Linked DNA regions of Callithrix jacchus. The protein of the gene in region 5 purifies or fractionates together with the protein of the main gene of each other region. This does not show direct contact. Links are inferred from orthologs where the notes say so. Each region holds a gene or a part of one and is shown on either strand. Other genes may lie near its edges.

Region 1 (3,500 bases), on a different chromosome or scaffold from region 5:
CCCACCTGGAACCAGGGAACTAAGGCCTGACTCCATCCCCATCCCCACATCAACTGTCCCCACTCCCACAAGCCCAGTGGGAAGGCAGAGAGCAGTTCTTCCAGGGTGCACCTATCAGCTGGGGCTTCCTCCAACTAAGTTTCCCTTCGAGGAAAGGACACCCACCTGTCTGTCCCTGTGACTGTCACTTCTGCCTCCAGGGTGTAGAGGATGAGCTCACTGGCTTCATTCGATGATTCCCTCTGTTGGGGCAGGAAGGAGGGGTGCCCACAGCCAGCCTCCTGGGGACTATCTGACTATGGGGAAAATAGCACAGACATTCTGAGCCAGCCATGGCACCTGGGGCCACCAATGGTGTGCCAGGAACCATGCTGGCAGACCTGCTGCTGGAGGCTGTGACCCAGGGCCTGTGCCACACATTCTGCTCGAGACCAGCTTGTCCTGGGCTGCCCCTGCACTATCAGTCCCTTTACAGATAAGGAAGAGGTGTGGCACCAAAAATAGGAGGCCCAACCCTCTACGGGTCTATTTGTATGAAGTTCAAGAATAGGAAGCCCAGTTTGTGGTGAGAGGTCAGAACACTGGTTATCTTGGTGGGAGGACCTGATGAGGACGGGCAGAAGAAACCGGTTTCCAGGAGGTAGAAAACACTCCAGATTCTACCCAGAGTAGTGGACACATACGAATGACACAAGTAGTTCATCAAGATATATACCTAAGATCTGTGCATGTTACTGGATATATATTATATCACAATAAAATAAAAATTATAGAAGAGGATAAAAAGAATTTTGTTTGGCAAATAGTATAATAAGAGCTAAAGTAGCTAAAGAGCTAAAGCAACCTTTAAGAGCCCAGGCCTATACTTAGCATGGATTCCTGTAAAGCCCTCTGGGGCAGAAGAGATTGTTATCACCATTCAAAAACATTTTTTTTTTAAGACGGAGTCTTGCTCTGTAGCCTAGGCTGGAGTGCAATGGCATGATCTCGGCTCACTGCAGCCTCCATTTCCCGGGTCCCAGTTCAAGCAATTCTCCTGCCTCAGCCTCCCGAGTTGCTGGGATTACAGGTGTGTGCCACCATGCCCAGCTAATTTTTGTATTTTTAGTAGAGACAGGGTTTGACCAAGTTGGCCAGGATGGTCTCAAACTCCTGATCTCGTGATCCACCTGCATTGGTCTCCCAAAGTGTTGGGATTACAGGCATGAGCCACTGCACCTGGCCCTAAACAAAATTTTTTATAAGAAAAAAAAAACCAAAACAAACACATTTTAAAAATATTTTTGTAGAGGTGGGACCTTGCTATGTTGCCCTGGCTGGCCTTGAACTCCTCAAGTGATCTTTAAATGATCCTCCTGCCTTGGTCTCCCCAAATGCTGGGATTACAGGTGTTACCCACTGCCCCTGCCTGACCCCATTATGACTACTTTTAAAAAACTGAAGCCCAGAGAGGTTAAGTCTCTTACTCCAGGTCACAAAACCGGGAATGGGTACGGCCAGTGGTCGATCCACCCAAATGTACCCCACTTGGGTATAAGCCTTCTCTAGCATCTAAGCTCTTAACCCCGAAGTGACCCACTTTCCAAAGACTCCTGTCTGCCCTGGTAAGTCTTGCTGTGCACCAGACCTGGGGCTCACCCTTCTGCCCTTCACCATCTCATGTAATCCTCCCTTCCCCCATGGAGTGGGAGTCAGGCTGAGGCCCCAGGCCCTGGGGCCGTCATGGTACAGGGACTGCTGGCCAGGCTGGGGTGGAAGTGCACACCTCACTCAGCAGGCCAGCCAGGCTCTGTGGCTCCAGTGAATCCAGAACGGAGTTCTCCAGATTCTCGGGCTTCATGGGGGTAAAGTAGCAATCCAGGTCCTGGGCATCAAGAATGGTCTTGAGTGGCTCCTGGTCGGCCCGTTCTGCCCAGCGGCCGTGGGGCTGGTAGCTGCGCTTGGCATGGAAGGCCGAGCCATCTGGCACATCATCATCCCCTAGCTTGAAGGATATGGGACAGTCAGGAAGCTGGCTGAGTGCTCACCCACTGCAGGGAGCGCCATGGACATTTCAAACAGCCCATCTGGCCTCCTGACTTTCAACACCATTCAGAAACAACTTCCAGATACGTATCTCCAGCTGGAACCTTTCTCTCTGTTTTTTTGGGTTTTTTATGAGACGAAGTCTTGCTCTGTCTCCTGGGCTGGAGTGCAGTGGTGTGACCTCAGCTCACTGCAACCTCTGCCTCCTGCGTTCAAGCAATTCTCCTGCCTCAGCCTCCTGAGTAGCTGGGATTACAGGTGCCCACCACCATGCCTGGTTAATTTTTGCATTTTTAGTAGTGATGGGGTTTTGCCAGGTTGACCAGGGTGGTCTCAAATTCCTGACCTCAAGTGATCCACCCACCTCAGCCTCCCAAAGTGTTGGGATTACAGGCGTGAGCCAAAGCACCGAGCTTGTTTTTTTTTTTTTTTTTTTGGTAGAGGTGGACTCTCACTATGTTACCTAGGCTGGTCTCAAACCCCTGGCCTCAGGCAATCCTCCTGCTTCGGCCTCCCAAAGTGCTGAGATTGCCTGGCCCTGAACCTTTCTCTGAAACTTCCAAATTGCACATGTGACTGCTCTACATCTCTGTATAGATGTCTGGTGGGTATTTCAAAGTTAACGTGCTGACAACTCATTTCCTCCCCACAAACCTGCTCCTCCTAGAACCTTCCGTTTCAGTAATTTTTTCCGTTGCTCAGGCCCCAACCTTGGGATCATCTTTCATTTACCTCTCTTATTCTGTCTCTTATAATCCACATTGTCTTTCTCTCTTTTCTTTTTCTTTCTTCTTTTTTAACAGACAATGTCTCTGTCATCTAAGCTGGAGTGTAGTAGCACGATCCTGCAGTCTCCAACTCTTGGGCTCAAGTGATCCTCCTGCCTCAGCCTCCTGCGTAGCTAGGACTATGGGTGTGTACCACCATGCTTGGCTATTTTTAAATTTTGTGTAGAGATGGGGATCTCACTATGTTGCCTAAGCTGGTCTTGAACTCCTGGTCTCATGGCCTTTACATGTACAGGCTGTTATGACTGGAACATTCGTCCCAATATCTACCTGTCTCACTTGCTTCAACTCTGCTCAAATATTTTCCCAGTGAGGCCTTTCCTGTTTACTTAAAACTGCCACCCCCAACACTCCTTATTTTTTCTTTAAAAAAAATTTTTTTTTTTTTGAGACGGAGTTTCACTGTTGTTACCCAGGCTGGAGTGCAATGGCACGATCTCGGCTCACTGCAACCTCCACCACCTGGGTTCAGGCAATTCTCCTGCCTCAGCCTCCCGAGTAGCTGGGACTACAGGCGTGCACCACCATGCCCAGCTAATTTTTGTATTTTTAGTAGAGACGGGGTTTCACATTGTTGACCAGGATGGTTTCGATCTCTTGACCTCGTGATCCACCCGCCTTGGCCTCCCAAAGTGCTGGGATTATAGGCGTGAGCCACCGCGCCTGGCCTAATTTTAATTTTTTTAT
Region 2 (2,710 bases), on a different chromosome or scaffold from region 5:
TCTGCTGATGGACAAATAAGCACTAAGAGATCTATTACCCTCACCAATATGAACCAGTCAAAGCTGAATGTACACTATTCCAAAACTCTGAGGCAAGACAAAACCAATGAGTAAAAAGCTGCAATGTTGCCTATCAGATGGCCCCACCAAAGAAAAAAAAAAAAAAAAAAAAAAAAAACCACTTTCTAAGGGCTACACCAAATAGAAAAAGTTGATCATGAGACACTGTTATACCTCATCTAATATTAGTGATTTTCACTTGTCTCTTTCTCTATTTTAGTAGGTACTATTATTCCTCTCCATTCCAGGTAAGCATGTGACTAAATGGAGGCCAAAGCAATTTTCTATCAGGGATGCTTTTTTTCCCAATAAGGTAGCCCTTTAAAATTGAACAAATTAAAAATGCAATGGTCAATCAAAAATTATAATGAGTAAGTTGCTTCTATAATACAGCCAGATCTTTCTTCTCACTGTTCTTTAAGGTTAAGTAGAGTCAACTGAACATGCAGGAAGTGATTAAACAATTTTATATTACATATTAAAAACACAGTTTAAAACATCTCAAGAGTAGACTAGTTCTGTAAGTCAGGGTAAAAATATTCATAAACTTTTCTGAAGTAAGTATTCTGTATGAGGTTGGCTATTTTTGTAATGCTAAAGCTCCCTATTTCTCTTAAATAACAATTTCATTTTCAATGAACAAAACTAAAGGTAAGTAACCAACACTTACCTTGCAATGTTTGTAAACACTGTCCTGTTTTGATATCCCAGATTTTAACTGTAGAATCTGCATTCCCAGAGACAAGAATATTGTCTTTGAGTTCCATTCCACTTGTTAACGACTGATGCCCTGTTAACGTGTGAATGCAATTCCCTGTCTCCACATCCCAAACTCGGATTGATGTATCAAGAGATCCACTGACCACATGGATACCATCAAACTACAACAGACACAGTTTATTAGAATAGAAGTAAGGATACTTTTCCTATTAATTACTGACCTTAATCCTAGCAGGAATGGGGGAAGAGCATGGGAAACAGGTAATGCCAGGAACAAAATGAGGTGCTAGGATAAACTGGCAATGAGAATAAAGTGCATGTCATCAAGCAACTCTACAATGTATGTTCTCAGACACTTCTATCAGAAATGCTCATCTTTACACCCAGCAGCTTCAAACTAGATGCAGAAACAACTTAAAATGAAAACAAAGCACCTAAAACGAACAATATATTAATTTTCAAATCATCTGTCCCCACTTAGCTATATACCATGTGATTGACAGAACTGTTATTTGAGTTTTACTTCCCACTAGGAAGTTGAAACTAATGACATAGCTTATGATAAATGGAGTGCTTATTAGCACCTAAGGCATGAAAAGGGCTAGAGATAACTTTTGTGATGTTCAAAAGTAAGTTCCATTAAAAACTGTGTGTAAAATAAAATTTCACTTATAAGAACCTAATGTTAATTAGGAAATGTGCCAAAAGATAATTATATCTGGAATCAGAAGAGGTGGCATTTTGACATCAAAAGCACACTACAAACTACCTCTTCTCCAGCTTCCCAGCTACACCAAAAGCCAATAACAATCTATCATTTCTATATAATAATGTGGCTACCTCTTTTCTCAGTCAAATAGGTTATTTAAATTAGAATATTATATTGATTAGCCTTCTGAGCATATCACAAAACATACAAACAGTTGCAGCCAATTCCCCTTCCACCAAATTCATCACCTTTTCTAATTTAGCAAACATCTTTATCATATTGCCCGTATTTCCTGACACGGACAATATCCCTTCGACAAACAAACAAATATCCTAAGAAAAGAACTGTCAGTACTAAGATTATGTACTAATTTGCTGAACATTAATGGGCAGTAACTGGCAAATAAACTATATAAGCTACAGAAAATATTTAAAAATTGAAAATGTTGCCTTTCTGGAAATAAAACAAGATTCATATTCTAAACCTTCTATTCATCTAGTTAACGATCTTAAAATACGGCAATGTTTTTAAGGATACTGGCTTGAAATGTAAACCAAAAAAAAAAAAAATCAGCTTAGTCAACTTTACTTCTTTATGACTACAAATCAGTGCCTCTGGGATAGCAGCGTGCTTTATGTAGAAAGGATCTATTTCCACTCTGAACGGGGATGGAATCACAATTACATGGTCCATCAACTTTTAGCTATCAAAGCAAAGGGGCAGTTTTGGCCATATTAATCCTCTGGCAAAGGAGTTTCTTAAAATCCAGGTTACTCTCCTATGAGACTATTTAGCCATTAATTAACATAGCAAGAGTCCCAAAGTGTCAGGTTGCAAGACAAATATTTGTATTTCACAGGGAAAATAGATTACAGAAAGTTGAAAGCATTTAAATAATTTTGAAATTTATACTTTCTTCATGCCAATTTTAAAGTGTATATAAACAGCAGAATAATCTGTTTAATCTTTTTTTGGACTATATTGGATCAGCAATTTGACAGTTATTATCTGGGTAAAACAACCTTATGATTCATCAGGAGAGCATCTAAGAGACAGATAAAGATCTCTTACCTGTAATGAATAGACTCTATTAGTATGCCCCTGCAACGTGTGTAGACAGGTTTCAGTCTCTGGATCCCACACCTTTACCATAAAATCATATGCTCCACTAACAACCCTCCTGCCATCATATTGAACACAGCGGACTGCTGCAACATGACC
Region 3 (3,500 bases), about 6.8 Mb from region 5:
AGTCGGTGTGCACTGGCTTGCGTGCCTCTGCCGTGATGGGGCCTTCCTAACCTCTCTTCCCATCTCCTTCCAGGTCCAGGGAGTCAGCAGTAAGGGATGGCGGGATGTCACCACCTTTTTTTCAGGGAAAGCAGAAGGCCCCTTGGACAGGTACACCATGTCCCCATCCCCCGAGCCTGTGTCCCACCCCCTCTCTTGATGGTGGTCGGCTTCCTTGCTGGGCAGTGTGGGGGCGGGGGGCATCGTGGAAAGCTCTTCTAGTGCTCTGCCGCTTCGGGGGCCTGTCTCACCTGTCCCTGCCCTGGCTGTGTGCTTTTTGGAGCAGGAGCTGGGCACCTCAGGCTGGGGTGGGAGGGAGAGTCTTACTCACTGATCAGAGGAGGAGTCGGCGCTGCTCTGCCATTCCTCTGTCTCCCAGACTCTGGGTGGGTGGAGCAGATAGGGGACCAGGGGACAGTAGGGCTGGGACCCCCAAGACCTGTCCTGGGCCCCGGGCTGGGACCCCCAAGACCTGTCCTGGGCCCCGTGTCCAGCTCTGCCCTTGGCACTGGGTGCCCCAGGCATTCCTGCTAGAAGCTGGCTGCTCTTCTCAGTCCCTGACCCCAACAGGAACCACAGGGCTCTCATAGGGCCTGGCCCTGTGCTGTCCACTGAGACGCCAGCCCTTGTGAACACGTATGCTCTGCCCCCAGATGGGCCCAAACTTTCCCTACAGTTGCTACGTCCTTTCCCTCTCTGTGTGTGTATAGGGTTTCAGTGGTATGACTACAACTGAGGGCAGAGGGCAGGGCCTGGTCCAGAGCCGACATGCGGCGGGGGCATCTCTCGGGAGAGCCTGAGTCCCCACGAGGCCAGTGCCCCTCCCCCTCCCCCCTTAACTAAACCACTGATGACATAGCAGGTTAGAGCTGGTAGAAAAAGAAATTTTCTGTAAAAGAGTGGGCCCTGGTTCTCCAGGTCCCTGGCACAGTTTCCTCTGCTCTAAAATGGGAGAACCAGCTCCTGCCTGGCAGGGCTGCTGTGGACCCCGAATGCTGGCCTGGGAAGGCGCCACAGGGCCTGGTGGTCACTGTAGGTGCAGAGCTGTTGGGGGCACGGAATTCTGAGTGGTGGGCTGAGTGACATTCACAGTCCCCCTTCTGTCTCTTTAAAAGCCCCTCTGAGGGCCACAGTTACCAGAACAGCGGTCCAGACCACTTCCAGAACAGCTCCATAGACCAGAGCTTCTGGGAGACCTTCGGGAGCACTGAGTCTGCCAAGGCCCGGAAGTCCCCGAGCAGCGACAGCTGGACCTGCGCGGACACCTCCACGGAGAGGAGGAGCTCCGACAGCTGGGAGGTGTGGGGCTCAGCCTCCACCAACAGGAACAGCAACAGTGATGGTGGGGAGGGTGGGGAGGGCGCCAAGAAGGCGGTGCCGCCGGCTGTGCCTGCCGACGATGGCTGGGACAACCAGAACTGGTAGGGCCACCGCAGCCCCGTCCCCAGCGCTCTGGGTGACTTCGTGTTTGCACTCTGCCCTCGTTCTCCTTCCCTTTGACCCAAGAAGCAGTGACCGCAGTGTGAGGACAGCATCTTGGGAGGCAGGACTCTGGGGAGACGGGTTCGTGCCACCTGTCCACCGTGGGGTCTCGGTGCGTGGGACGGCTTGCTCTCCATCCCCTGCGGGGGGCTGTCCCATCCCACACTCCTTGGGCATTCTTGGACTCCAGCAGGGGCCCGGTGTGGCTTACTGGGAGGTGGGCTGCGGCACGGACCCTCACAACTGTGTTCCGGTGGCTGGTTTGACACATTTTCTCCAGGGTCAGGGACCAGTCACGTGCCATGCTGTCAGCGATGAAAGGAGCCGAGTCTCGTGGAGATGTTTAACTCTGGGTTTGCTCTAGTTCTTTCTTTGAAGAAAGTGACTGCAGTGGTAAAGACGGCAATGCTGAAGGAGACACTGGCGCTCACACTGCCACTGACCACCCTTGCTCCTGTGTCCACGCCTGCCTGGGCCCATGTCGTTACCCCGAGTGGCTTCCCTGCATCGGCCTCGTCCAGCCGCCACATTCACTGGACACACCTCCCAACGGCCATGCCTGAGCTGTTCTCAGTGCTGAAACTTGACTATTCTGGAATGCCCTGTTAAGACAAAGGAGTGCGGGGGGCCGGGTGGGCCCTCAGCCCCGGTGCAGTGGGGTGCGACAGTAGGAGGGGCTGAGCTAGAGTCACCTGTGTGCAGTGCCTGGGTCTGGAGAAGGTCCAGCTTCTCGTCAGCCCCCAGCATGCAGCTGTGCTCATGTCCCTCTGACACCCCCCTCTGGCTTCTCTGTCATTTGAGTCTGGTTGGCTGCCTGGAGCCTGGCTGGCTTGAACCTGTTGGATGGGGCTGCCCTGCAGCCTGGTGCCCACCCCATGCTGACCTTCCCCAAGTACTGGATGACATGCCGCTGCATGTGACTCAGTCTCTCTCATCTGCTGTGTGTGACCCTCTGTCTTGGCCAGCTGTGCATGTGCTGGAAGCTCGTGCAGTGTGTGAGGTGCTCTCCCCTGCCGCCATGCTCCTCACTATGGCCTCAGCCATGCTCCCTGATCACCCCACTTTCCAGCCGCCATCCGCAGCGCTCCTGGAGCAGCCTGGCCCTTTAGCCCTGCGCACGTCCCACCTCAGGGAGTCGGCCACCTGCAGAACAGGATGGGTCCTAGATTTCAGGGAGCCCTCCTGGCACCCGCTCCTCCCTGTGGGCACCAACCCCCTTGGTAGCCAACCTGGAGGGCCTGTGCCTTTGGCTGCCACAGACTTGGTCACCAAAGCAGCCACCTGCTATAGTTGGACCTGGGGTCAGAGGCTTGGGGTGCTGAGAGGCCTCAGGGCAAAGTGGCCAACACAGAGGTCACAGGAAGTCAGTCTTGGAGAGCGGAGCATGAGGTCTTGGAATGTCTTTCCTGAGCTGAGACTTGGGTGGCCTTGCGATTTTCCCCAAGGGCTGCTTGGATCCTGGTGGGCTGAGTGCTCTGAGGAGGGGTGCATTCCATCCTGGAACCCAAACTCTATCCCCCCACCCCCTGGGAAGGTGCCTTGCTTGGGGGCAGGGTGACAGTCCCTTCTAATGGAAAGTGCTGTCAGTGTTGGGAGGGGTTGGGGCCACCTTCGGAACGGGATGTGGTGGCCAAGACACCTCCACAGAGGGTGAGGGCCTTTCCCTTCTGCAGGTGTGGGCAGGTGTCCCAGGACCTGTGGGCGCTGGGGCCTCGCCTGGCTGTGTGAGGGCCCATGTGGAAGGCACAGACTTGACAGCTTTCCAATAAAGCACATGGGAGCACGAGGAATGTCTGGGTGCATCCCAAGGGGCCACTTTCAGTGTGGTGTTAGTAGGGTCATGGGATCCCCAGGGAGCGGCGGTGGAGCACTGGGCTCCCTCATTTCTCCTGGTCCCTTGCTGCACCCAGCCTTCCTGGGGAGTCCTTGGCTTCACCCCATCTGAGCCAGACCTGGCAAGTAGGCAGTTGGGTGACCCA
Region 4 (4,259 bases), on a different chromosome or scaffold from region 5:
CGCGTGCCTGCAATCCCAGCTACTGAGGAGGCTGAGGCAGAATTGCCTGAACCCAGGAGGCAGAGGTTGCGGTGAGCCCAGATCGTGCCATTGCACTCCAGCCTGGGTAACAAGAGCGAAATTCCATCTCAAAAAAAAAAAAGAAAAGAAAAAAAGAAAAACAAATAGAAGCAAAGTATAATGCAGTTGTGTTCAATAGGAAATAAAATGGTCTAAAAACTATATTTCATTAAGGTAAGAAGGAAATCTAATGTTTATCAAAGTAAGAGGTCCAAAGAAGTCCAACAGATTCTTTTTTTTTTTGTGAGATGGAGTCTCCCTCTGTCACACAGGCTGGAGTGCAGTGGCTTGATCTTGGGTCACTGCAACCTCCACCTCCTGGGTTCAAGCAATTCACCCTGCCTCAGCCTCCCAGGTAGCTGGGATTACAGGCACTCACCACCACGCCAGGCTAATTTTTGCATTTTTTAGTAGAGATGGGGTTTCCCATGTCGATCAGGCTAGTTTCGAACTCCTGACCTCAGATGATCCGCCCACCTTGGCCTCCCAAAGTGCTGGGATTATGCCATGCCTGAGACGTTATCATAAAAAAAAAAAAAACATTTTATTTATCATAAACACAAAGTTTAAAAAAGCTTTACACATGATAAATAAAAAGAAAAAATTCCAAATCAATTCACTGACATGCAATAGTCAACCTCACCTACAGGATTAATAATGCTACTAAGAGGTCTGGTTAGTTTTCCATGAATTGGATCCCAATGCTAGTTGTATTCTTATTCCAAAAAAAAGAAAAAAGAAACACGCATAGCAGAAAGAAGCCACAAAACAAATGTCTGAAGGACTGATGAGTATGTATGCTACATTGCTACTAATGAAGGCTCTATCCTTATTTTAAATTATCCTATTAAAAATGGGAGCATACACAAGAATGACTCCCCTATAATATGCTTCATAAAATTAACATATAAGTACAATTCAGTTACATTCACAACAGCATGTGTGGCCTCAAACATTATGCATACTTGTTGACTTATGTTAAGTATCAACTTCCAATACCAAAGAAGAAACAAACAAAACCCACAGTAATATATTTCTTGAAGAATACACTAAGATAAATAACTAGCACAAGCTGATAAGCACTGCTAGAAACCTAATAAGCACTGGTTTCACCAAATGCATAAACACTTTTCAAAAAAGCAGCATACCTAGGACGGGTGCGGGGGCTCACGTCTGTAATCCCAGCACTTTGGGAAGTTGAGGTGGGCGGACCAATTGAGGTCAGGAGTTCGAGACTAGCCTGGCCAACATGGCAAAAACCCGTCTCTACTAAAAATACAAAACAGCCGGGTGTCAGCCACCTACTCGGGAGGCTGAGGCAGGAGAATCACTCGAACCCAGGAGGCAGAGGTGCAGTGAGCCAAGATCGCGCCACTGCACTCCAGCCTGGATGACAGAGTGAGACTGTTTCAATAAAAAATAATGATGGAAGGGAGCGGTGGCTCACATCTGTAATACCAGCACTTTGGGAGGCCAAGGCGGGCAGATCACGAGGTCAGGAGTTCAAGATCAGCCTGGCCAACATGGTGAAACGCCATCTCTACTAAAAATACAAAAATGAGCCAGACGTGGTGGCATGTGCCTGTAATCTCAGCTGCTCAGGAGGCTGAGGCAGGAGAATCGCTTGAACCCAAGAGGCGGAGGCTTCAGTGAGCTGAGATCAAGCCACTGCACTTCAGACTGGGCGGCAGAGACTCCGTCTCAAAGAAAAATAAAATAAATAAATAAATAATAAGTTGAAAAGAAAAGCAGTATATCAAACTCATTCCTTTACCCATACATACATTTACTTGGACTCAAGGGCAACGAGGAACTCGTCTTCTTTAGAAAACCAAGAAAACGAAATCTTGAGTTAAGAAGGGGTTAAGGGGAAAGTATTTGTATTTATTAAGAACCAACTACTTTCTCCACTTCAGTAAGCTCAACAAAATACTCAGAAACGGGTTCACCTCTGAATTAGCAGAAGAAAACCCACGGTCCTAAAAGGCAATTTGGAGAAGGTGGAGGAGTGGCAGAGAAGAGGGACGATCTGACATTCGCTCTCGTCAGTACCAAACCACTCGGACCCACCGCCTTCCCCTTCCTCAGAGACCTAAACAAACTGGGGCCGCGTTGCAAGAGCCTGTGGCAACTCCTGTCAGACGCCGGCCACTCTGCGCTCCTGTCACCTCCAACGGGGACGATCCCATCCCGAGGGCACTGCCGCGGGGGCTCGGCAGTGAATGCCGGAGATCCCGGGAAGGGGTGGAAAGCTGCTAAGCAAAGCTGTTGCAGCTACGGGTCCTGGGGCAGCCCGAAGGCCAAAAGGGGCGACCCTGGGGTAGAGGCCGCGAAATCCCTTGGGATACCCACTGAGGCAACTAGGACATCATTTGGGGGACTTGGTTCCCCCAACCATTGGCGTGACGCCGGGTCGGGCCGGGTCGCATGGCATCGGAGAGGGCCCTCCACCGCGGAGAGACGGGATACCCGGCGGGGGTCCCACGAAGAGAGGAAGGGCGGGCCGGCGGGCGCCCCACAGCCGGAAGGGGCGAGCCTGTAAGCAGCGCTCCCGCCCCGGCAGGGCTCACCTTCAGGTCGTTCTCTGGCAGGTATTTGCACAGCCGCGCTATCTCCACATACTTGTCTAGGTCTAGCGGCGCCATTTTGAGAATAACAAGCCGCGGCGACAGCGGCGGGGTCGGCGGCGGCGGCGGCTGTAAAAGCAGCGGCGGCGGCGGCAGCGGCGGAGGCCGAAGCCGGAACTCTCCTACGTCACGTCCGGACCGTGAGTGGCGTCTGCGCAGCGCCGTTAAAGCGCGACCCGCTTCTCCCCGCTACCTCGGTACGCCCGGCGCCCCCTCTGGCTGAACCCCGGCTGCAGGCCCCAAGAGGCCCCCCCATCGGTCCAGCCTGCGAATTCTGATGGGACCCGTAGTCGCCTGCCGCGGGTGTTGCCGGGATTTGTAGTTTTCCGTTGTGGACAGCCACCCCTTTCTTTTCCTCCCCTTCAGTTCCTCCAGACTTTCACCTCCCGGCAGCGGGCGAGGCTTTTCCGAGGCAAAACGGCGGAGTAGGTCGTCCTAGCCACTCACTCGTTTCTCCTTCCAACCCTTTTAAGCACTCTCTCACTTTCACTTAACAACTGGGTAAGCCTGGCCGTAGTAACTTGTTTGCATCTTTCCAAGTGCCTGTGAAAACCTCGCTTAAGCCTGTGGCACAAATGTCAGGCTCCAGCCTGAAAGGAAGATAAAGAAATATTAAAGCATTTCTTGGCCGGGCGCGGTGGCTCACGCCTATAATCCTAGCACTTTGGGAGGCCGAGGCGGGTAAATCACGACATCAAGAGATCGAGACCATCCTGGGCAACAAGGTGAAACCCCGTCTCTACTAAAAATACAAAAATTAGCTGGGCATGGTGGTGGCGCCTGTAGTCCCAGCTACTCGGGAGGCTGAGGCAGGAGAATTGCCTGAACCCAGAAGGCGGAGGTTGCGGTGAGCCGAGATCATGCCATTGCTCTCCAGTCTGGGTAACAACAGCGAAACTCCATCTCAAAAAAAAAAAACATTTCTTATGCTAAATGCGATACAAATTCTATTTTTCCATTTAATCTTTGTAACAATTGGTAGGAAAGTGAGACTTGGAGGCTTTAAGTAGTTTACCCCAAATCTCACAGGGAACAAATGGTGGGGCCAAGATTGGAAAATGGCTTAAGCTTAAGCATACTTCCAGTGAGAATCCCACGAAGGCAGGGAGTTTTCTGCTGTGACTCCAGCACGGAGAACAGTACCGCATACCTTCAGTAGTTTATTCAACCGCTCTTTATTGAGCAACAAAGATGTACCAGGTACAGCTGCAGGCGCTTGGAATACTTAGTGAACAAAATAGACAAAGATCTCTATCCTATCTGTAGCTACAAAAACTACCAAATTTAGCCGGGGGCAGTAGTGCGTGCTTGTGGTCCCAGCTACACTGGAGGCTGAGGCAGAAGAATCGCTTGAGCCCAGGAAATGGAGGTTGCAGTGAGCTGAGATCGTGTCACTGCACTCCAGCTTGGGGGACAGAGCGAGATCCTCAAAAATAAATAAAATAAAATTAGTAAAAGGAAGCTGCTGTATGGGACTGGGGTGGGGGTGCAATAGCTCTAGCTAAGAGATCAGTTAGGAGACTGTTATGTCATCCAATTGTAGCAGGTGCGCAATACATATTTGTTGCTCAA
Region 5 (2,455 bases):
ATATTTAGTCCTATTGTCCATGATGTTTTATAGCTGGTTTGTAAAATCAAGCCCCATGCTCTGTATTTGATTGTCTCTGTGGTCTTAAGCCAGACCAGTCTCTTAAAGTGGACTTTTCTGATTGTGTTGCCACTAAACTTGGACCTATATTTGCTGAAAACTGGAACTTAGGCCTCAGGGCCTGAAGAGATTAAATACTTTTGGCAAGAGTATTTCATGGGTCACCCTCAGAATTTCAGCATCTCTTGTACCAAAGATCTACCACAAGGCAGCACGCATCTACGTCTCCAACCCCAGTGCAGTTACAGTGGGACAGTTTCTAGTGTTATGTCATTGCCACCAGGCTTTTAAGTCTTAGCATATTTGTAATATCTATATGTAGATGTAGAACTCTAAATTGTATTTACAGAGAACATTGCATGGTAGCTTTTATGTGGTAGTGATACATTCAGTTTCTTACATTCTAGATCATTCAGGGAGGTTCTGGAGTGGGACAAATTTGGGATTAAGGTTTGGTGGCTAGCGGTGTGACCTTACTCTGTTTCCCATGGGAATTTATAATAGAAGCTACTTCCTAGGACACAGGATCTGGCCCAGGGAAGTGCTCAGTGTTTGTGGAATTAATGATTTTAGCAGCTATTGTGATCATGAAACCAGAAGCACATCAGCTTGAGCCTCCCTCTGTTTTTAGGAGGACCACTCTCTGCGGCACTCTGGACTACCTGCCCCCCGAAATGATTGAAGGTCGGATGCATGATGAGAAGGTGGATCTCTGGAGCCTTGGAGTTCTTTGCTATGAGTTTTTAGTTGGGAAGCCTCCTTTTGAGGCAAACACATACCAGGAGACCTACAAAAGGATATCACGGGTAAGATGTCACTGAAAAGGACCCAGCACTTCTGCTGGAATTCTTTTCTTATCAGCCTGAACTTCAGGCCAAGATCTGAATATCTATACTATTTGATCTCTCTAACTTGTGTTTTGTGATATTTTATCATTTGCTGTATTCCAGGTTGAATTCACATTCCCTGACTTTGTAACAGAGGGAGCCAGGGACTTCATTTCAAGACTGTTGAAGCATAATCCCAGCCAGAGGCCAATACTCAGAGAAGTACTTGAACACCCCTGGATCACAGCAAATTCATCAAAACCATCAAATTCCCAAAACAAAGAATCAACTAGCAAACAGTCTTAGGAATCGTGCGGGGGGAGAAATCCTTGAGCCCAGGGCTGCTGCACAACCTGTCAGGAACATGCCGCTGACATTTATCTTATTGTTGACTGCTGCCCTCAATTTAGGACGCTACAAGAAATATTTGTTTTACTAAGCAGGTGCCTTAACCGCCCTATTCAGAAAGCTCCATGTCAATAAACATGACACTCTGAAGTGAAGGTAGCCACAAGAATTGTGCTACTTACACTGGTTTGTAATCTGGAGGGCAAGGTTTGACTGCAGCCACCCCCTCAGCCTGTGCCAGGCATGGTGTCCTCACAGGAGACAAATCCAGAGTCTGGCTGTGGGGAAAGTGAACACTTTGCCCTGACTCGATCAGTTAAGGAGCTGTGCAATAACCTTCCATGTACCTGAGTGAGTGTGTAACTTATTGGGTTGGCCAAGCCTGGTAAAGCTGTTAGAATGAGTATGTGATTCTTTTTAAGTGTGAAAATAAAGATATTTGTACAGACTTGTATTTTTTCCCTGGTGGCATTTCCTTAGGAATGCTGTGTGTGTTCAGCACTCCGGAAGGCCTGGTTGGGTTTCTAGTCCTTAACCACTTATCTCCCTTATGAGTGTGTGTAAAATAGGAACACGTGCTCTACCTCCAATTAGGAACTTGCCTGGGATACAGAAGGGGCCATGTGTCTCAGAGCTGTTAAGGGCTTATTTTTTAAAAACCACTGGAGTTTTAAAATGGCATATGTGGAAACTTTATGCAAATAAATAAGTATCTATGTCTGTTGGAGTACTGTGTAGTTCTTCCCATCACCTGTTTGTTGTTGGCCTAGAAATGAGCAGGTGCTGAGAGAAGCAGGCCTCGCTGCCCTCTTCTGGTCTCTCCCTGTTGGGTGTACTCCTAATACTTCATTATATATATTGTTTACATATTTGTTATATATTGTCATCTGTCCATTGACTAAAGATAATGGTGCACATGACCACGAGGAGGGAATGGTGGAAGTGCTGGAACTTGGAGCTAGTAGAGGAAATCTGCTTGCATGGCCAATGCTCTGTGCAGGAAACTAGACAGCAGGTATGTTAGGATATATCATAACCAAGTGGCTGAGATAGAGAACCTTAAAAACACAACTGAGTAAAACTGCAGTTGCCAACCCCCTTGGGACAAAGGAGCTGAGCTGACTTTGACATTCCCAAATAGTTCGTGTGCCACCCTCCCAAACTATAGTTACTATCACGTGACCAACTTCCCCAGTGATACCAGCGAAACTTGGGACGTT
Region 6 (3,500 bases), on a different chromosome or scaffold from region 5:
ATGTCCACAATGCAAAATTTCAACTAAGAAGTCTAACTCCAGCAGGACACACAATGAAAGCACTCATAAACTGATCACAGATAGCTTCAATTTTGCTGACAAAGTTTGAAAATGTGGTAATTTGATTTTCAAAAAGATTTTCAAATTAATAAAATGAAATTCTGGATGTAGAAAAGCATTTCCTTTGCAATTAAGAATATAAAACCAGGTAATATTTTTAAAACATTAAAATGTACAGTAGGATTTTATAATAAAGCTTTTGTCCCTATTTCTACTTCAAAGTAAACTTGCTACAATAAAAAAACTACATTGCTTTGCTTAAAAAATAAAAGTGATCACTATGCTAAGCTATGAATTTGAGAAATTATGCTTTTCCTCTCCACTCTGAGCTACAGTAATCAAGGGAACAGATTATAGCATAACTGACAAAAACAGAAGAAAATTTAGACTAACATGCAACACAACAATCCAATTTCTGTCAAAAGATCTTTGCTAATTCCAATTTCTTTGGCAAAAGCTTATTTGTGAGTGACAATCTTAATAATGGGCTCGATTTTAGTAATGATGTAACTTTTTTGCAATCCTAGAAAGATGCCAAATTTCTGTTATGCAACTTTTTTAAAAAAACAAAAACCTTTACTTTTGGGCAGAGGTGGGGGAAGGCGAAGGGTGTCTGTCAATGTTGATTGTAACAACTTTCCAGAATGTTCTGACAAAAAAAGTTACAGCCTTCAAGCATTTTTTAAATACTACAAATATTTCATTTTAAACCAGACTCAAAAGAGATATAAACACTGTATTTGTCTGAAAAGAAATAGCAGTAAGTCAAGCCATATCTATATCTTTTCATTGTTTTAATTAAGAAAAAAACACTTTTCAAGAACAAGGAAGAATACCAAAAGAAACTGCAGTGGCAGACCTCAAGGAACTATTTTCTGCTAAAAGTCTTATGCTTTTCCAAGGCAACATGAAGATGCTTTTGATTACTGTTTGGTCCTTAAGACAAAAAAGGGCTAAATTGCAATTTTTAAAAAATAAGACAGTATGTTTTTTAATTGGGAAAAAAAAAAAAAAAAAAACTTCTGTATCTTTACAAAGGTGCTACCATAAGCCAAAAGTGGCAGAGCACAAAAATCACAAAGGGCTGACTTTTATCCCAAACTGTGTGATCCTGGGCAGAGCCTTTTAGTGCCTCTGGGTTTCAGATTCTTCACCTACAAAAGAATGGGGTTCTATCTCATAAAATGTTTTTCAAGAGCACTTCAAGCCTTTTAAGAAAAAATAGCGCATGAAATCCTTTTCTCTGACAGTTCAAGTCAACTTTGACACTCTCTTCCAGTAAGAGGCTAAGTTTTAGCATGCAAAGGTTTCAGTTAAGCCCATTTGCTGAAGGGCCAGAGAAAAGCAGGAAGATCAGCAACGCAACCAGCCAAAACCACGGTGTATCTTTTCAATATAATGCAAGGGCCTATATTTCAATAAAAATAAGTTCAATAAGTAAAAATCCAAACAGTATTTCTAATGAATTCCAATAACCAAAGTGCCAAGAGAAACATTAAGAAAAATAAATTGAACTGTGTTGTATCTTAAAAAAAAAAAAAAAAAAAAATCAACATGGCATGCCAATGTCACCTTTATGCTACACGTTTTTAAAAGAGCCAAATATGTTATGAAAGGTATTAACAAAGAAGGATGACTACTACTGGCATGTTATTTATAGAAATAAAATACTATTTCCAAAGCTCAAAATCTATACATTTTCCTCTAAGGTTTTACTTATTTCTAAATTAATAACAAATAATTGTTCTGACCTAACTTGCATTAAAATATTCCCTTAATGCTTTTCCAAATAAGTTCTAATTTTGTAATAAGACAAATACTACATGAGTTAAAAATATCCTCAATAAACAGGTAAAAATCAGAATAGTGTCACAGAACATGCTACCTGGAAATACTTAAAGGCAGATATATAGGATACATGTGTCAGAAAGTAGGCATGAAGAAAATGTATATTCAGAAAATATAACCAGTGAAAGAAACAAATGGTGTTATCATTGTTGGCCTGAAGTAAAAATGAAGTAATAATGAGCCAATTTATCTTTCATGCAAAATAAATCTCCAGGAAATTAAAGTGTCTGAAGCATTGCCTTTAACTTTGGAAGAGGCACCAGAACTCTCCCAGTCAACAACCACCACCGCATTGACTCCTGCAGCTCAGAGGCCCTCCCAGGTGCCCTCTGGTGGCCTTCAAGACAAGACAAAATGAAGCAGCTGTTGCTGACACTTGGAGTCTTAAGTCACCAGCAAGATTTAAATTATTTCCAGAAAATAATAATCTTTATGAATGATTTTTTTTTTAAGTTCACAGGAGTCCTGACTGGGAAAACCCTGAGCTACAAAAGCAAGATTCAAGATAAATTGAAATGAATTATTTCACAGACAGACTGGAGATAACAGGTCACTGAAAAGTCATTTATTTCACTGAACAGAGCTAAGGATCTAGGATAAGTTGTAATAAATAACAGCAAAGCAAATTAAAAAAAAAAAACAGCAAAACCCAAAGTCAAAACATCACATACTGTTATGCCTTCGGAAAATAAATAATCACATACTCTTATGCCTTTGGAAAATAAATAATAAAAATAATAAATAATTCCTCATCAAAATTATAACACTATTTCTGAATTCTGTGAAAAGACAGTATATTTGAAGGAATTAATTGAATATATCAAATATCTATTATAAACATACCAAGAAAAGGAAACAAAAAGTTAATAAAACAAAATTCTCTGGCTCACCAAAAAGTAAATCCCTCTAGTTACACACACAAAAAAAACCTTACCATTTCATCTTTTTCCCATTTATCTGTGTTGCTTTTGTCTTGATTTACTACATAACCAGGAGGAAGCCAATTCACAGGGGGATCAAATATTGACACCACCATGCGGCTGGGCAGTCCCTTCTTTTTTCCAAGGCGATACAGATTACAGTTGCTGACCTTTAGCAGAAAATATTAGGACACTTATCTATAAATGATCACTGCTGGAATTCATTCAAGGCATATTAACATATCCTCAGTTAAATGTTCTTCAAATTAATTAATTATACGGTCATCAATTAATTATAAGGGCTCTAGAGTTTTTCGACCCATCTATGTTATAAAGAGTATTATAACAGCCATGGAAACTGGCAACTTGGGAGCAGGGGCAAGGATGGTAAATACTTCTGAATATAAGATGTAGAGGACAAAAAATAATGTATGTAACTGTGCAAATTCCTTATGAATGAGAAGAAACAGTTCAGACAATATCAAAGCCTTGAAAATACAACCTGATGATGTAAAATGCAAGCTGCTAATTGGAATTATCAAAGTAAAAAAGAACCCATATAAAAAGTCAAGATGTCACGATATCTTCAATGAAATGGGGGGATGATACCATCAGCTCTAGCTGCAAAGTGAAAACTGGCACCGAACAGAACTCAAAGAATGTTATATTCCT
Region 7 (3,500 bases), on a different chromosome or scaffold from region 5:
CTCTGCAGGTGATCTCATTCAGACTTTATATGTCCTCAGTCCCACCTGCTGCGAGGCCTCATCTCCACCTGATGTCTCTAACAGGCATTTCGCCTTTGACAGGGCCAGATTCTACTAAAAATACAAAAATTAGCTGTGCCTGGTAGCAGGTGCCTGTAATCTCAGCTATTCGTGAGGCTGAGGAAGGAGAACTGCTTGAGCCCCGGAGGCAGAGGTTGCTGTCAGCTGAGATTATGCCATTCCCTGCCCCTTCCCTCTGCAATCTTACTTCACTGCCATAAAGCCACTCCATCCTCTCAACGGCCCAGGCCAAAATCCTCATAGTCACTCTGGACACTTTATCTACCGTTCCACACCTAGAGCAAACCCCTTCCGTTCTAACTTCATCTAGTACCTCCAAGAGTCTGACTGTGTCTGACCAAACAGGTCCACTAAGATCTTTTTTCTGTGCTGATCACTGTGGCCAACTGTACTTCCACTCTGTCCTCCTCCACGGGGCTAACAGAGCACTTCTGGGGAGCAAAGTCAGACCAAGGCACTTGCTCAAAACCCTGTGGTGGCTTCCCGTCTCAAGTAAAGCAAACATCCTGGCTGAGCCAACCAGGCCCTGTGTGGCCTGTCTCTACAGGTACTCCAACTCCACCCCAACCCTCCCTCCTTCCATTCTCCCTCATTCATGATGCTGCCCTTTCTCTGGATGCCCAGATGTTCTTGGGGTACACCAAGCACACGAGCACTTTAGGGCTTCCACACTTGCAGTTCCCTCTGCCTGGATGTTCCTTGTTGTCAAGTGCCCACTTGGCAACCCCCTTATTTCCTGCATGGCTCTGATCAGATGGCAGCATCTTAATGACGCCTTCCCTGAGCTCCTCTGCCCATCCTCCACCTTCAGCATCCCTGTCTCATCGTGCTTCATTTTTCTCCACAAGCCTTATCTGACAAACAATTGGTGGGCTTCTTAGCCTGGTCCACCCCAACAGAGCAATGACCACATCATCCCAATCTAAACTTCCTTAAATGACTATAGTCAACCCTAACCCTAAAACACTTTCGGGTCCCAGCTGAAAAACCCCTCTATGCTAATCTAGCTGTGGCGCACCCAAGGTACATTACACACAGGTGGCGACTGCTCAGGCCAGAAGCATGGCAGAGCACTGCACTATCCAGCTCAAGCAGTGCTCCTTCAAAATGGTGCGTGCAGAAGGCCAGGTCCACGGGAGGCACATTTGCTCTTGCAACCTCAAAGGCAAAAATGCTGGCAAAGCAACATAATACAAGTGTCACACTGTTTAAAACGGGGGGGCCACTACTTCTTTGGGGGAAAGTAAGCCCTTCATATAAGGCATGCCTACTTTTCTGATTAAACCATTACTAGCCTCACTCAGCATGTGAGGAAACAGACCCAAGAAGGGTAAGCTCTCTACCCAAGCTCTCAGATGGGAAGAGAAGAGGGTGGGCTGATCCAAAAACTGTGCTCTTTGACCCAGACCACACCCTCCAACGAGGACAAGCCCCAGTGCAAGCAGCACCACCCACATGCTGGTTCACTGTGAAGGGAATTCCAAGCAGTAAAGTGTCTCTCGTTTGGGGGATGAGAGCACACCAGCATGTCTGCCACCAGATTTCTTTCCTCCTCCATTTTTTTTTTAAATGTTGCCCAGGCTGGAGTGCAGTGGCACAATCTCAGCTCTCAGCAACCTCTGCCTCCAGGGCTCAAGCAGTTCTCCTACCTCAGACTCGTGAATAGCTGAGATTACAGGCACCTGCTACCAAGCCCAGCTAATTTTTGTATTTTTAGTAGACTTGGGGTTTTACCAAGTTGGCCAGGTTGATCTCGAACTACTGACTTCAGGTGATCCACCTGCCTTGTCCTCCCAAAGTGCTGGTATTACAGGCATAAGCCAGAGTGCACAGCCCTTCCTCCTTCTTTTTAAGACTCTAATCTCTGAGTGAAGGCTTTCACTAAATTCTAGGTGTCAATGTTAATGGCTGGCAGAGAACATGACATCCTTGAAGATCTAAGCCACTAGCAAGTTGAAAGCATTAACAAGTATTATTTCCCAAACAGCACATTTTTCCCCAAGAAGGAAGGAAAAGATGTCCTGACAAGAACGATAAACTGGGAAAGAAATGGCAAGAGAGACACTACTGAAAGCCTAACTCTTCCTATTCCGTTAAGTTATGTAATGCATCAATTTTTGTTTCTCAAGTTGCTCTATTTTCTGGGGGAAAAAGAGCCAAATATTTTAATAGAGTTGGATATGGAGAAATACTTAATTGAAACCCCAATACTTTACATATCTATGGAGAGTTTCCAGGGGTTTGTATAAAAAGTGTTACAGTGATGGTAATAAAGGATTCTCACTACACTGTGGTTCTGCTTGTAAACAGACTAGACTAGCAAACAAAATCCACTGTAGTTATCCATGGTGTGAGCAGCTACACCGACGTTCACTAATACCCACTCCCTTACTTTCAGTTGATAAAAGGTCAGACTGTATTGTATAGGCAACGTTCTTCAAAACCCCAAGCTCTGGCTTGGATCCACCATGCAATTCTGTGTAGTCATATAATCTCCACCTTCCTATTTGTAAAGTAAGTATTTTAATCATCTGACTGTTTTGAGAAATTTGTCATCATTGTTTACAAAACACACTGCCTTTCCAGAAAACTTTTGAATGAAATTCAGAACACTCATTTCTAAACTCTTGTGATTCCCTGGACTGAGTTCTGGAATGGATTCTGTGCTCCACTGAGCCAGTCCTTGACCATCTTACCCTTCTGTAAATGGTGACAGTCGCACTGGAGAATTCTTGAGCAAGAACTGTAATATCCTACCCCGCACCTCACTTTAGTCCCACCCTAGAGAGAAGATTAAATTGTCTTACTTGTATCTGATCTTCTCATCCATGTCTTGAGGTGGTTCTTCTATAATGAATGAGACTAAATCTTCGAGACATTCTGCTTTTAACAGAAACTCTATAAGTTTGCGGTTCTGAGCTTTACATTCTTGTAAAACATCTTCCTCATCCATTAACTCCTTCAGTGTTACATCTTCTCTTTCTAGAAGTGTGTCTATGTGGGATGATGAGTGAAGATCAAATTTCCAAAACATGCTGGTCTAAACAAAATGCAGAAAATACTTCATAAAATCTCAACTTTACACACTGATTTTCCATAATTCATGTTTCAGTTCAGTTACAGTCTAAAATGCCAACTTGGCTCACATAAGTTAAATAAGCTTCACAATGAACCTATAAAATACTTTTTAATGTGTAACTGGCAGGATTTTTATCCTTCTCGAAAAGAAAATATTTTAATTGATAAAAAATTTTGACTTGAAAATGCTGAAAGCTAAAACTTGGAATGATTTTAACCTTCAAAAGGAATTCATCCATACCGTGTTAAGAAGTGATGCTGGAAAAGGAGTGAATTCACTCTCTTCTTAAAGGGGAAGAACAGAATGTCTTCAGCAACAAGGGATAAGCAGTGAGGCCTAA

What was found.
Region 1: the proteins of AURKA (region 5) and WDR62 purify together in Homo sapiens (affinity purification with mass spectrometry; 3 studies listed by BioGRID and IntAct, counting the BioPlex papers as one, with this or other methods). This does not show direct contact. The link is inferred for Callithrix jacchus from reciprocal best matches to the Homo sapiens genes AURKA and WDR62.
Region 2: the proteins of AURKA (region 5) and FBXW7 purify together in Homo sapiens (affinity purification with western blotting; 5 studies listed by BioGRID). This does not show direct contact. The link is inferred for Callithrix jacchus from reciprocal best matches to the Homo sapiens genes AURKA and FBXW7.
Region 3: the proteins of AURKA (region 5) and ARFGAP1 purify together in Homo sapiens (affinity purification with mass spectrometry; 3 studies listed by BioGRID and IntAct, counting the BioPlex papers as one, with this or other methods). This does not show direct contact. The link is inferred for Callithrix jacchus from reciprocal best matches to the Homo sapiens genes AURKA and ARFGAP1.
Region 4: the proteins of AURKA (region 5) and PPP6C purify together in Homo sapiens (affinity purification with mass spectrometry; 4 studies listed by BioGRID and IntAct, with this or other methods). This does not show direct contact. The link is inferred for Callithrix jacchus from reciprocal best matches to the Homo sapiens genes AURKA and PPP6C.
Region 6: the proteins of AURKA (region 5) and DICER1 purify together in Homo sapiens (affinity purification with mass spectrometry; 4 studies listed by BioGRID and IntAct, counting the BioPlex papers as one, with this or other methods). This does not show direct contact. The link is inferred for Callithrix jacchus from reciprocal best matches to the Homo sapiens genes AURKA and DICER1.
Region 7: the proteins of AURKA (region 5) and PPP6R3 purify together in Homo sapiens (affinity purification with mass spectrometry; 6 studies listed by BioGRID and IntAct, counting the BioPlex papers as one, with this or other methods). This does not show direct contact. The link is inferred for Callithrix jacchus from reciprocal best matches to the Homo sapiens genes AURKA and PPP6R3.

The regions. Positions count from the first base shown.
Region 1 is NC_133523.1:32,243,657-32,247,156, reverse strand, and holds part of WDR62 (WD repeat-containing protein 62), read right to left. Parts: intron 1,985-3,500; coding exon 1,766-1,984; intron 297-1,765; coding exon 166-296; intron 1-165. UniProt on the Homo sapiens protein: Required for cerebral cortical development. Plays a role in neuronal proliferation and migration.
Region 2 is NC_133504.1:44,390,282-44,392,991, reverse strand, and holds part of FBXW7 (F-box/WD repeat-containing protein 7), read right to left. Parts: coding exon 2,561-2,710; intron 942-2,560; coding exon 731-941; intron 1-730. UniProt on the Homo sapiens protein: Substrate recognition component of a SCF (SKP1-CUL1-F-box protein) E3 ubiquitin-protein ligase complex which mediates the ubiquitination and subsequent proteasomal degradation of target proteins.
Region 3 is NC_133506.1:58,775,968-58,779,467, forward strand, and holds the end of ARFGAP1 (ADP-ribosylation factor GTPase-activating protein 1), read left to right. Parts: intron 1-73; coding exon 74-150; intron 151-1,154; coding exon 1,155-1,464; 3' UTR 1,465-3,307; downstream 3,308-3,500. UniProt on the Homo sapiens protein: GTPase-activating protein (GAP) for the ADP ribosylation factor 1 (ARF1). Involved in membrane trafficking and /or vesicle transport.
Region 4 is NC_133502.1:173,787,365-173,791,623, forward strand, and holds the start of PPP6C (serine/threonine-protein phosphatase 6 catalytic subunit), read right to left. Parts: upstream 2,801-4,259; 5' UTR 2,706-2,800; coding exon 2,631-2,705; exon of another isoform or gene 2,413-2,630; intron 1-2,412.
Region 5 is NC_133506.1:52,021,421-52,023,875, reverse strand, and holds the end of AURKA (aurora kinase A), read left to right. Parts: intron 1-691; coding exon 692-866; intron 867-1,010; coding exon 1,011-1,193; 3' UTR 1,194-1,955; downstream 1,956-2,455. UniProt on the Homo sapiens protein: Mitotic serine/threonine kinase that contributes to the regulation of cell cycle progression.
Region 6 is NC_133509.1:129,913,550-129,917,049, forward strand, and holds part of DICER1 (endoribonuclease Dicer), read right to left. Parts: intron 2,999-3,500; coding exon 2,843-2,998; intron 1-2,842. UniProt on the Homo sapiens protein: Double-stranded RNA (dsRNA) endoribonuclease playing a central role in short dsRNA-mediated post-transcriptional gene silencing.
Region 7 is NC_133511.1:125,411,353-125,414,852, reverse strand, and holds part of PPP6R3 (serine/threonine-protein phosphatase 6 regulatory subunit 3), read right to left. Parts: intron 3,122-3,500; 5' UTR 3,116-3,121; coding exon 2,889-3,115; intron 1-2,888.